2 linked regions of the Saccharomyces cerevisiae S288C genome follow. The gene in region 1 interacts genetically with each later gene. Each region holds a gene or a part of one and is shown on either strand. Other genes may lie near its edges. The genes, in order: DIE2 and KEI1.

Region 1 (3,600 bases):
CATGTCAAGTATCTCTAGCTCTTCTGAGAGTCAAGTTACCAGAAGTGGAAGTGCAAGAGCTTCAAGAAACGATTATTCAAAATTAACTAAAGAGCAAAAGGACCATAGAAAGAATATTGCACATTCTCTTGGTTTTCAATTGCCCGACCGTGTCTTTACGTTTGAGACCACAAGTGCTGAAATTCTGGAAAAGAATAAAGCCATCAAAAATTGCTTTGGACCAGGAAGTTGCGCCGAAATAAGATCAACCTTTGACTTTAGTACACTCTCGCCCGATGTTGCCCGTTATTATATCGCTAATTCTAACGCAAGATCAGCTTCCCCACAAAGACAAATCCAAAGACCTGCTAAACGAGTAAAGTCACATATTCCATACCGTGTATTGGATGCACCTTGCCTGAGAAATGATTTTTATTCGAACTTAATTTCTTGGTCAAGAACCACAAACAACGTTTTGGTGGGACTGGGTTGCTCCGTATACATCTGGTCTGAGAAAGAAGGAGCGGTATCTATATTGGACCATCAATACTTAAGTGAAAAGAGGGATTTAGTGACATGCGTCTCATTCTGTCCTTACAATACTTATTTTATTGTTGGTACAAAATTTGGCCGTATTCTTCTTTATGATCAAAAAGAATTTTTTCATTCCAGCAACACAAACGAAAAGGAACCAGTATTTGTTTTCCAAACTGAATCCTTCAAAGGAATATGTTGCCTAGAATGGTTCAAACCAGGTGAAATTTGCAAATTTTATGTTGGAGAGGAAAATGGCAATGTGAGCCTCTTTGAAATAAAGAGTTTGCATTTCCCCATAAAAAACTGGAGTAAAAGACAAAAACTCGAAGATGAAAATTTAATAGGATTGAAACTTCATTCCACTTATCAAGCTCAGGCACAGCAAGTCTGTGGTACGTTATTAAGAGCTTATGCTTTCACATACCCTTTTCTGGTATAGCGCTTATTTTTTCATTATGAAAAATACTAACAAATATTTTCTACAGGTATTTCTCTGAATGAACATGCAAACCTGCTTGCAGTCGGCGGCAATGATAATTCTTGTAGCTTATGGGATATTTCCGACTTGGATAAACCTATTAAAAAGTTTGTTCTTCCACATAAAGCGGCTGTGAAGGCCATTGCCTTTTGTCCTTGGTCGAAGTCTTTGTTGGCTACGGGTGGTGGAAGCAAAGACAGATGTATTAAGTTTTGGCATACATCGACAGGCACATTGTTGGATGAGATTTGCACCTCGGGACAGGTGACGTCTTTGATATGGTCGTTGAGACATAAACAGATTGTTGCTACTTTTGGATTCGGTGATACCAAGAATCCTGTATTAATAACACTATACTCATATCCAAAATTATCAAAACTACTCGAAGTTAGGTCGCCCAACCCTTTGCGTGTACTGAGCGCAGTAATCTCTCCAAGTTCCATGGCAATTTGCGTTGCCACTAACGATGAAACGATAAGATTTTATGAACTGTGGAACGATAAGGAGGAAATAATTAATGAAATTCAAGAGAGTGGGATTTATGGATCTAATATTATAGAATATATGGAGGGTATCGAAACAACACATAACAAAAGAATAAGGTAATATAAAAAAAGGATATTCATTGCACGCACAAACCAAATACTTCAAATAGCAAACTAACAGTAAGAATATATAAAACTATACATACGTATACATAAAAAAATAATAGGGAAAAAAAAAGGAAACCATATGAGTTTGAATGAGGCGACGTGCCATATTAAACAATTATATTTTAACACTTCCGCACTGCACCTATTTAGTTGGCTGATTTGTGACGTTTTTAATTCCGATCGGCCTGAAACAGCGAAGGGTCCTGGAAAATTAAGATAATAAAACGAAATGAAACCCAGCAACGTTAGATGATGCTCAAAAAAATATAGAGACAGAGAAAAACCAGAATACAAAGAGCTGTTTAAGTGGTCAATATCCCAGGTACACCGAGCCCAGTCACATCGAACTTATAATGGATGCAAAGAAAAATACTGGTGAAGCCAATAATGATGTATTGGAAGAGGAAGCAGCGATTCAGTTGATTGCACCAGGTATAGCGAGAAACTTAACACAAGAAGTCATTACCGGTATCTTCTGTAATGTAGTAATATATCCTCTTCTTCTAATATATTTTGTCTTAACTTTCCGTTACATGACTACAAATATTGTACCTTATGAATTTATAGATGAAAAGTTTCACGTTGGCCAAACTTTGACCTATTTAAAAGGTAAATGGACTCAATGGGACCCTAAAATAACAACCCCCCCTGGAATCTATATTTTGGGTTTAATTAATTATTATTGTATAAAGCCCATATTCAAGTCGTGGAGCACACTAACCATACTAAGATTAGTTAATTTACTTGGAGGGATTATCGTTTTCCCCATTTTAGTACTCAGGCCAATATTCCTTTTTAATGCCTTAGGTTTTTGGCCCGTTTCATTAATGAGCTTCCCATTGATGACAACTTATTATTACTTATTTTACACCGATGTGTGGTCTACAATTCTGATATTGCAATCACTCAGCTGCGTGTTAACATTACCGTTTGGCCCCGTGAAGAGTATATGGTTGAGTGCTTTTTTTGCTGGTGTAAGCTGTCTCTTCAGACAAACGAATATCATTTGGACGGGATTTATAATGATTCTTGCTGTTGAACGCCCAGCCATTTTACAAAAACAGTTCAACACGCATACGTTCAATAACTATTTGAAATTATTCATTCATGCTATTGACGATTTCTCCAACCTTGTTCTGCCCTATATGATAAATTTTGTTTTGTTCTTCATTTATCTGATTTGGAACAGATCCATAACACTAGGTGATAAGTCCAGCCACTCAGCAGGCCTGCATATAGTACAAATATTCTATTGTTTCACATTCATCACCGTTTTCAGTTTACCTATATGGATATCTCGTAATTTTATGAAGTTGTACAAATTAAGAATAAAACGGAAGCCAGTACAAACTTTTTTTGAATTTATTGGTATTATGCTAATCATAAGATACTTTACAAAAGTTCACCCATTTTTGTTAGCAGATAATAGACACTACACGTTCTACCTCTTCAGAAGATTGATAGGCAACAAAAGTAGACTAATCAAGTACTTTTTTATGACACCAATCTATCATTTCTCCACTTTCGCATACCTTGAAGTGATGAGACCCAACCAGCTCACCTTTCACCCCATCACTCCACTCCCCATCAAAGAACCTGTACATTTACCCATACAACTGACACATGTATCGTGGACGGCCTTAATAACGTGCACCATGGTAACTATCGTTCCATCACCCTTATTCGAACCTCGTTACTATATATTGCCCTATTTCTTTTGGAGAATATTTATTACCTGCAGCTGCGAACCTTTGATAAAGGATTTAAAACCTGCTAAAGAAGGCGAAAACCCAATTACCATAAGCAGTACGAAAAGACTGTTCATGGAATTTTTATGGTTCATGCTCTTCAATGTCGTTACTTTAGTTATCTTTTCCAAGGTCTCATTTCCTTGGACCACTGAGCCCTATTTGCAAAGAATAATATGGTGAACAGAATTGATTATAGTTGCAA
Region 2 (9,678 bases), on another chromosome or scaffold:
TCACTAAACTTAAGACTACTCCAAGAAACGTAGAATTATTTGGAATGTAGAGACGTGTATAATATATAATACTTTTCCGAGAAATATTTCATTTTCATTTTCGTAAAGTTGTTAACTACGCTAAATATTAGTACTTTTCTTAAATTTATATGGGGAGCCCTTTTTTTCTATGAAAAGCAATGCGTAAACCAAATAAGCAGAATTTTGTAATAGATGAGCAACAATACTGAGAAGGTGATAACTATAAATTTATGTGGGTAGTACGATACCAGAATACATTGGAAGATGGCTCTATTAGCTTTATATCATGTTGTCTTCAGGCCTTCAAAACTTATAGTATAGGTAGATCAAGTAAAAACCCACTGATAATTAAAAATGATAAAAGTATTTCCAGACAGCATATCACATTCAAATGGGAAATCAATAATAGTTCGGATCTGAAACACAGTAGCCTGTGTTTAGTTAACAAGGGTAAATTGACATCATTAAATAAAAAATTCATGAAAGTTGGCGAAACATTTACTATTAATGCCTCGGACGTTTTAAAGTCCACAATAATTGAACTGGGTACAACTCCTATTCGTATAGAGTTCGAATGGATAAATGAAGTCTGGAACATTCCTCCTCATTTGACACAATTCAGGACGATGCTTTCTGAATATGGTATCTCCACTGAGATTTCTATTAATGATATTCCCGCTAATCTGATGATTAGCGATTACCCAAAGAGCGAGGACAACAGCATACGGGAATTGTATGCCCTTGTTAGTACTATACCCATGAAAAAATCACGGTTTCTGATGGAATTGTGTAATACTCTTCTTCCCACATCTAAAACTAATTTAAAATTTGATGAAATGTGGAACGATATGATTAGTAATCCGGAGTACAATGTTTTTGATTTTGATCCAAATATTTTGCTTTCGAAGTTTATGAGGCTGAATAATATCAGAGTGTTAACTACTATCAAAAGTGAACCACGTCTATCATCTCTCCTGCGGACGTTCAATATAAATTTATTTGCATTTGACAACATTGATAGTTTATATAAATATGTTGACAGCTTGGAAGCATCAACAGAATACCTGATTTTGACAACTACAGATAAGAAAGAAAATGGGAAAATTCTATGTACTATCAAAACGATGTTAACATCAATAATAGATGGCACCTTAAGCGCAGTGATTAATATGAAGGGTGCATCTTCAAGAACTCTAGATAACGGTAAATTTGATCAAATTTCTGAAGGAATGTCTACTATTTTGAAAACATCTCGTGCACCTGAAGTTGAAGCTAGTCCAGTAGTCTCGAAGAAGCGAAAATTAAATAGACGTAGAGTACTACCACTCGATAGTCTTGATTTTTTTGCTGGAGGTTTGAGTACTAAGACTCTATCAGAAAATAGGTCTTTAACTGACGCTAAGAGACTTAATTGTGGCGCAGAATCAAAGACTGTCATTTCAAGTCCCAACATTGCAGAGGCAGATGAAAAGCACGCCCCATTTCTTCAAAACGCACTAAAGCCGACTGAAGATATTGGAAAGAAAAGTGGTCACAGTAGCCCTGGTGCTATAATTGTCAGTAGCCCCAACTTAGGTACTGTGAACACGAGTGAGGATTCGTTGGATAAGTCGCTACAGTCACATAAGTTACCACAGCCGTCATTGCCGGAGGTAGCAGGGATTGGCTCTCAAACCATATCTTCGAACTCCGCTGACTATGAAACAGCTGCTGTGAATTCGATGGATGATGCTGAAGTTACTAAGAATTTTAGGGTGAATCATCACCAGAATATAGAGCAACCCTCTAAAAACATCCGTAAACTTTCTAATTATTCACGAGAAATTTCATCTCCATTACAAGAAAATTGTAAGTCACCTGTAAAAGAGTTATCTATTAAAGAGAAATCTGGTACGCCGCACGCATTTGTTGAAGCTATTCAAGAAACTAAAAATAGAGAGGTCAAAAGAGTTAAGTCAACCATTGTTGAATTGAAGGATGAGGAGTTGAGCGAGGAAGCTATTAATCAGCTAAAAAATTTGGCTATTGTAGAACCTAGTAACAATTTACTGAGGAAATCATTTGATAGTGAGGGAAACAAAACAAGCAGAACAACTGAAAAATGGGAAAATAGCCTAATGGAGCCAGAATGGCATAAACGCAAGAATTTCAAGACTTTTGTCAAGGTACGTCCAAAATCAAAGGCGCACAAAGAAGAGGGTAAAAATAACACTCAAAGCTCAGATTTTATACGAAATGCAGCCTTTTTAATCACTAGAAATTATGTTCCGTTAAAAAAATACTCCAAAAAGGATACAACTACAAAATGGGGCACAGAAGAAAACGAAGATATGTTTGCTTTGACGGAGATGGAAAGATTTGGATCGAATACATTTATGTCCGATAATATAAACTCAAACACTATCCAGAAAAGATCTCAAGCTCTAAACAGATTCACGAATGAGGATAGTTCAAATGAAGGAGAAGAAGATTCGTTTTCTTTTTCTCGTTGTTCAGGTACTGCAGCCAGCGTTCAACCACTAAAAAACAAAATTTTTATTACTGATGAAGATGATCTGGGTGATATTGATGATAAAAGCGATAGACTAAATCACAGAGAAAATAATCGTAATCTTTTTGTGGTGAAGGAAATGAACTTACGGCCAAACTTGTCAGAAGAATGTTCCAAGCAAAGTAGACACAGTAGAAGCGCAACTAGTAGATCACGTGGCTCTTTTGGGGCTTCTAATAACGGTGATGGCGACGACGACGATGACGACGGTCCGAAGTTTACGTTCAAAAGAAGAAAAGGATAATGATAAATTTTCCGAGTATTTCCAATTTCATTAAATTATATTTTGCATTATCATTCGATATATGTGTATATATTATATGAAAATTAGTAAAATCAATGTTTGTTTCAGCTGTATCGGATCGGTTTAAAGAAGCACTACAGGTTGCTGGAGGCATTAACTGTAATGTAGCGCGCTCATTGGAAAATTGGGAAGGATCCCCACTTCATATCAACGACTCTCTTTGTACCATGCACTTTGGATAGGTTACTAATAGTCTTGAAATCATCCTCAGGCAGAGTGAAAATCTTAAAATTGGATACAATTCTTTCAGGATTAACCGATTTGGCCAGAACAACGTAGCCTCTTTGAATACTCCAACTGATAATAAGCTGTGCTGGCTCAACGCCGTGCTTTTTAGCCATATCAATAATTGCTTGCTCTTTTAGTAAAGGAGCATTAGCACTCCCAAATGGTGAGTAGGCTTCAACAACAATACCCTTTTCCTTACAAAAGGCAATCAATTCGTCTTGTGGTAGCAATGGATGAATTTCAATTTGATTAGTAGCTGGTACCACCTTGTTATTTGGAGATTCTAATAATTCTTTAATGTTGTTAATAGAAAAATTAGAGACACCAACGGCTTTAGTTTTGCCCGTCTTTGGCAACTCTTGCATCAACTCCCACGTCTTGATAAAATTCCATTCCTTAGTATCGATGTCAACAGTGCCATCTTCTAATGTTGGAATGCACAGAACGTTACCATCAGTAACTCTGTCGGTTTTCAAAGGCACTGGCCAATGCATCAGATATAGGTCAACATAATCCAAGCCTAGTCTTTTCAAAGACTTGTTTAGAGCAGCTTCCGGATCACGTTGTTCCGTACCCCAAAGCTTAGTAGTAATAAAAATTTCCTCACGAGGGACTCCGGAATCTTTAATAGCCCTGCCAACTTCTTCTTCATTCAAATAGATAGCCGCAGCATCAATGTGTCTGTATCCAGCTTTCAAAGCTGCAATTACAGAATGGTAACCGTTATTGTCAACGGAACGCCAAGTGCCGAAACCCAACACTGGAATGGAGGCACCAGTATTTAGTTTTAATGTAGCAGAAGAATTCTTTAACGTAGCAGGCATGGTAGATTATTATCTGTGGGTATATTTGCGACCTGATTATATTGCAAAGTTACTTTATTATCACTTTAGAAAAGAAAAGGGTTTCACGGAATTGAATTGCAACCAAATAGGGAATTGCGTGCTATATAGTTTCCTTTTTCCTTTTTTTTCAAAATTACGTAAGAGCTACTTAAATACACACGTGATGAAAAGTGACAATAGCATCAGTGAGAATGATTTTATGATGTCAGAATAGAAACATTTCTTCATCAGTGTAAAACGCTATAACGCTAGGGCTTTATTTTACTATTTACTCTAACAAATTCTTACATAGCTTATAACAACCTTTTTGGCTCTTAGCCCACAGTCTTTTCCAAATAGGCTTGTTTTTCAAGTTTTGTTCTACGTCATCCCTATCAACTAAATATTTGGGGTGGTGTAACAATTCTTGAACAAAAGATGCCAAAATGAAGTTAAAGTAGAACCTGAATATCAATGACACCAACGTAATTAAAATAGTCATGGTATATTCGTAGCTTTCAGTTGCACTTTGTTTACTTATATCAATACCACGTTCTGTCAGCTTACCTGTCGATATTGGGTTACTTTGTAGTGCATTATTTCCATCAATATTAGCAGTGTCTTCCAAGGTGAACCATTGCGTGGTAAACCATAGAGTAAAAAAACAAGTGGAAATGGTATCGATTGTATAAAGTACGCAGATTTGCGAAAATACCAGCAAGTTTGGCTTATGAATCAAATACAGCCCTTGTGAGAATACGATTAATGTAAATACCGACCAAAGATATGCTATCCATTGCATAAAATCCAACGGATGACCCGTGAACAATGCTAAAATACCATAAGCACCACTGCATTTGTTTAGAATGGAAATACCTAAGACAATCTCAACTGCAAGGTATAGCGGCATAAACCCCAAAAAAGACTATGAAAAAAAAATATGTTTGAGAACAGGTTAGTAAAATTGTGCTTTGCTTCGAATCCTTACAAGTTAACAAAAATTTATAGCGTTTGCCGGAAACATACTTTTGGAAGGGTTAGAAGAGATGATCTCATAACTAAGGTTAATGGTTACAATTGGTAGTTCCTCCCTGGTATTATTTCTTTTCTTCGTAGTTTTTGTACAGATCACTTATACAGCTTTACACAGATTTTCCCGCTTGTTGTGCACTTTTTTTTCGAAGATTATTGAAGAGGGATGCGTTTGGTACAATAAAAAACATAGGTTCCCAAACCTATATAAATATATATATGTATATGTATATATACTACATATATGCTTTGAGAAATATGTGAATGTTGAGATAATTGTTGGGATTCCATTGTTGATAAAGGCTATAATATTAGGTATACAGAATATACTAGAAGTTCTCCTCAAGGATTTAGGAATCCATAAAAGGGAATCTGCAATTCTACACAATTCTATAAATATTATTATCATCATTTTATATGTTTATATTCATTGATCCTATTACATTATCAATCCTTGCGTTTCAGCTTCCACTAATTTAGATGACTATTTCTCATCATTTGCGTCATCTTCTAACACCGTATATGATAATATACTAGTAATGTAAATACTAGTTAGTAGATGATAGTTGATTTCTATTCCAACATACCACCCATAATGTAATAGATCTAATGAATCCATTTGTTAGTTAATAGTTTAAATGTTTTTATCGGAAGAGGTTTTGTCATCACATCAGCAATGTTCTTCTTGGTCTCGATGTAGTATACGTATAAATTATTACCTGATACTTCATCTCTAAGTCTCATTGCCTTTGTGCCAAAAAATCTGTTTCTAAATTTCTCTTCATTTGTAGACTTAATTATACTGATCGTTGATCTACTATCAGTAAGTAAGCCTTTAATAATTGGTTTCTTGTTAAGTTCTTGCACAAGGTGACTGAGGTTATTCAATAGCGGTATAGCTTCACTGACTGCGTGTATTTCTGCTTCTGTAGTTGAAGTGCATGTTAACGAAGCCTTTGTCGACTTTCCTCCAATCACTTTTCCGTTGAGTAGGAAAATGTTACCAATTTGTGACTTGTAATATGGTTGGTTACCATATGAAGCATCGCTTATTGCGACTAGTTTATTATCTGGCTTGGTAGGTTTGTTTTTGTGCCATATTAATTGTTTATCTCTAGTGTCCCACATGAATTGTATTAACTCATATGTCATGTCTAAAACTTGCCTAGAGGGGAATAGTATATGTTGAGCAAGTGTGTTGATGTAGTATAGTAAGTCAAATCTAAATTTATATCCAACATATGAAGCTAGACCAATCAACTTTTGCATTTCATGTACCTTCTCTTTGTATTCATCTTCATCTATTTCTAGTTCATCCTGGTCTATATAAAGACCTGGTTGACCTGGAGCGCTAAGTTTTCTTCCTTTTGGATTCAAAGGTACGTTTAATTTGGGTATTTTCTCAGTTAATGAGTTTTCCATACCTAATTTCATGTATTTACCTCTTTGATATTTGATTTCTAAGCCAAGTATGTCATATTGAATTTCCTCATCACTTTCGCCTAGATTTATAATCTTGGTGTCGTATTGCATCTTAAGCTTCTCTATAATTCTTTTGTTTGAATTTAGATTTTTGCTAAACAATACCATATCATCTACGAATAAACAAATTGTCACTTGACTGTTTTTAAATACGCATGACCATCCACGAACTTCTTCCATACCACATTGTTGTATCAGGTATGATTTGATAGTTTCGTACCAGTTCGCTCCACTTTGTTTCAATCCATAAAGTGATTTCTTCAAACGTATCAACTTATCATTCATTCCTAAATGTGGTGGAGGTCTTATGTATAATTCTTCTTTGATGTCTGCATACAAATATGCCGAAGATATGTCTAATTGTGTAATATAGTAGTTATTGTCTAATGCAAGTGACAGGGATGTCATTAATGCATAGTGATGTACGGTATTGGATTGCATGCCTGAGTCGTAAGTGTCAGGATGCTGAATATCACCTCTTGCAACAAATCTAGCTTTATGAGTACCGTCACGTTTCTTGTTGAAGATAAACATTGAGTTTATTACTCTTTTAGGGTCTATTTCTTTTCTGTCATAATATTCGTCAGTGTCCCAAGTTTTCATCTTCAACAGTTGATTGACTTCTTTGTGGTATGCCTCGATATATTTTTCTTTTTCTTTAATATCTTTATTATAGGTGATTGCCTCATCGTATCGTAAGGTTGTCCGTATTGGTTTGATTGATTTTACTGCTTTTACAGCTGCAATCAGGTGAATTCGTTTCTTCGATCTCGGAGGTTCTAAACTACGCATATTCTTAGTATTCCATGTGTCTCGTGATACCTTAATTTCAGTTTCATTATCTTCTAATGATCTTTTCTTACTGTTGATAGTAGTATAGGCATTAGAGTCACCAATACCACCCAAACTGGAATTAGTTTGACGAGAATTTATCGGTGGGAGTTCTTTAAATGGGTCAGGGAATTCGGTAGGAGATTCTGGAGGTAGATCAGGGAGTGGGAGATCAGCGATGATAGATTCCTCGGTATTCTGTTCAGAAACAGTAGTTGGCGTTTTGATAGGAACAATATTGTGCGATGAATTATTTTCCGGTGGAGAAGCATCGATTGAAGGTGAACGGTGTATAATCCTTTTCTCAGTCTCTTGGTCACTTATCTGCGGAACAGTTTTGTTGTTGGTACCACCCGTACTGGATATTGGTACGTTTGTATGATTAGTCTCATTTTCACTGTACGAGTCTGAGTGTCTGAAATCTTTAGATTTACTGGCGTGCGACGACTCATGTGTGTTAGATTGGGACATGGGAGCAAGTAAAGGAACATTTAATTTATGCATACCACCCGAACCGGTACTCTCGATATTGGAAATTTGGGGGGTGCTAGATCTCTTCTTTGATGGAAGAATATTAGATTCAGATATGTTGGGGTCAACTTCTCTGGGTGCGCGAATATTGGTTTTAGAAACACGTTTCGAATCTTCAGTATGAGTTGACGGAGGTGTGGAATCGGTTGGACTCACAGCTTTTGAAAGGACATTTCTCGGTTGCTCAGGATGTAGTTCAATGTCGGATTGGAAGTCATGGTCAGATTCTATGTTAAGATCATTGGATTCTTGGATCTCATTTGACGCAATGAACGAATGATATGAAGCAGTTAAACGGTTTAAGTCTTCATCGAAAGTGAGTGCGTCGTAATTGAATTGATCTAATCTGGATTCCTTGCCCTGAAGAATAACATAGTTAGTTGTATCTACTGTCTTCTTTAAGGATGGAAGATAGATGATATATCCATAAGAGTTTCGAGACGGATGTAGAGCGTAGCCTGGGATGCCACGAGGATGTATTTTGGAGTTAGGGTTGTGATCATTGACGATAACAGGTTGACCGAAAGGTAACAAAGTACTGATATCAAGTCCTGCCAAGCCAGCATGTTGTCTTGCAGATTTTTTGCTTTTAGGTGAAGCTAGTGAATTTCTCACAATAGTAGAAAATTCGATTGCAGAGAACCATAAATAGTTCGGTAAACCACTACATTGCAGTTGAGTACGGCAGTCATCTAATAAGGTACGGTTTAGCCGTTCAGCGACTCCATGTGCTCGGGAATCCGCTGTGGTTGTATAGCATGGAGTTATACCATTTTTTTCAAGGAATTTATGGAGAGTTCTGTTAGTATACTCAGAACCACGGTCCATTTGTATAACCAAGACACTGGCCTGAAACTGGTTCTTAATAAAAGCTAGTATCGTAGTAAAAACATCGAGGATAGAGTCCTCGCGACGGTCGTGTAATGGATAAACCCAACGGAATTTTGTTGTCTCATCAGTAAATGAGATGAAATAGGATGGTGCACTATTTGGTAGGTTGTGAACTGGACCAAATATGTCAGTATGTAGGTATTGAAAGGGTTCGTATGAATTTTGGTATTTTAGTCGTGAACCTTTGATATGTCTGTGTTTGGTGCTTTTGCCGATTAAACAATCAGGACATTGATAGTCAATAGCACTAGACCAGTCGACATCTGATTCGTTAAAATACGTGATGGTGTTATTTTTAAGTGAGTATCGAATTGTCTGTGCATTGGCATGCGCAAGCATTCGATGAATGAAAGGATAAGGATATTTGCGTGTACTTTCACTTGTATGGACATTATTGATGGTGGGTACGGAGATATTTGATGGAAGCAAGTACCTTTTAGATACCCAGTAAAAGTCTCCATATTGTACGATAGGTGCAAGTACAGTGCCGTCAGATCGTTCTAAGACGTTTTTGGTAAAGCATGCTGTGATATCTACTGCAGCCAATTCATTCAAACTGAGTAAGTCATAGGCTATGTTAGGAGTGTGCAATACCTTTATTGATGTTTTGGTGTTGTCCTGGAAGTGAAATTGTAGGTCACCAATAGCGTTAATTGGTATATTTCTTTTTTGAGCATCAACTACGTTTATGTCAGGATTAGATGATGCTGAGTGTATGTGATGAGCAGATCTTATAAGGGTTCGTGATGCTCCTGAATCGAGAAGGAGGTGTCCAGGGAGTTCATCATCAGAATGATTAGTGTGATTTACCGTAGATTCAGTAAGTTCCTGGCCTAAGGTGAAGGTCGTGCTTATTGTTCAATTGAATCGGTTCAGTAGTTGATTTACTGATGGAATCGTTGTCCGTGCTGGGAGAGTTATTAGATGTGGATACATTGTGAGCCCTGGCTGTTTTCGATTTCGAATTATTTGTTTTTTGAGGA

What was found.
Region 2: mutations in DIE2 (region 1) and KEI1 together harm fitness more than expected from each alone (negative genetic interaction), as found in Saccharomyces cerevisiae (one large-scale study listed by BioGRID).

The regions. Positions count from the first base shown.
Region 1 is NC_001139.9:945,420-949,019, forward strand, and holds DIE2 (dolichyl-P-Glc:Glc(2)Man(9)GlcNAc(2)-PP-dolichol alpha-1,2- glucosyltransferase), read left to right. Parts: upstream 1-2,000; coding exon 2,001-3,578; downstream 3,579-3,600. Other genes in the region: AMA1 (Ama1p), read left to right, coding at 1-908, 1,002-1,600.
Region 2 is NC_001136.10:1,208,154-1,217,831, reverse strand, and holds KEI1 (Kei1p), read right to left. Parts: upstream 4,985-9,678; coding exon 4,955-4,984; intron 4,854-4,954; coding exon 4,218-4,853; downstream 1-4,217. Other genes in the region: DXO1 (Dxo1p), read left to right, coding at 1-50; XRS2 (Xrs2p), read left to right, coding at 252-2,816; trifunctional aldehyde reductase/carbonyl reductase (NADPH)/glucose 1-dehydrogenase (NADP(+)) YPR1, read right to left, coding at 2,990-3,928; MOR1 (Mor1p), read left to right, coding at 4,996-5,394; YDR365W-A (gag protein), read right to left, coding at 9,513-9,678. UniProt on the Saccharomyces cerevisiae protein: Regulatory component of the inositol phosphorylceramide (ICP) synthase which catalyzes the addition of a phosphorylinositol group onto ceramide to form inositol phosphorylceramide, an essential step in sphingolipid biosynthesis.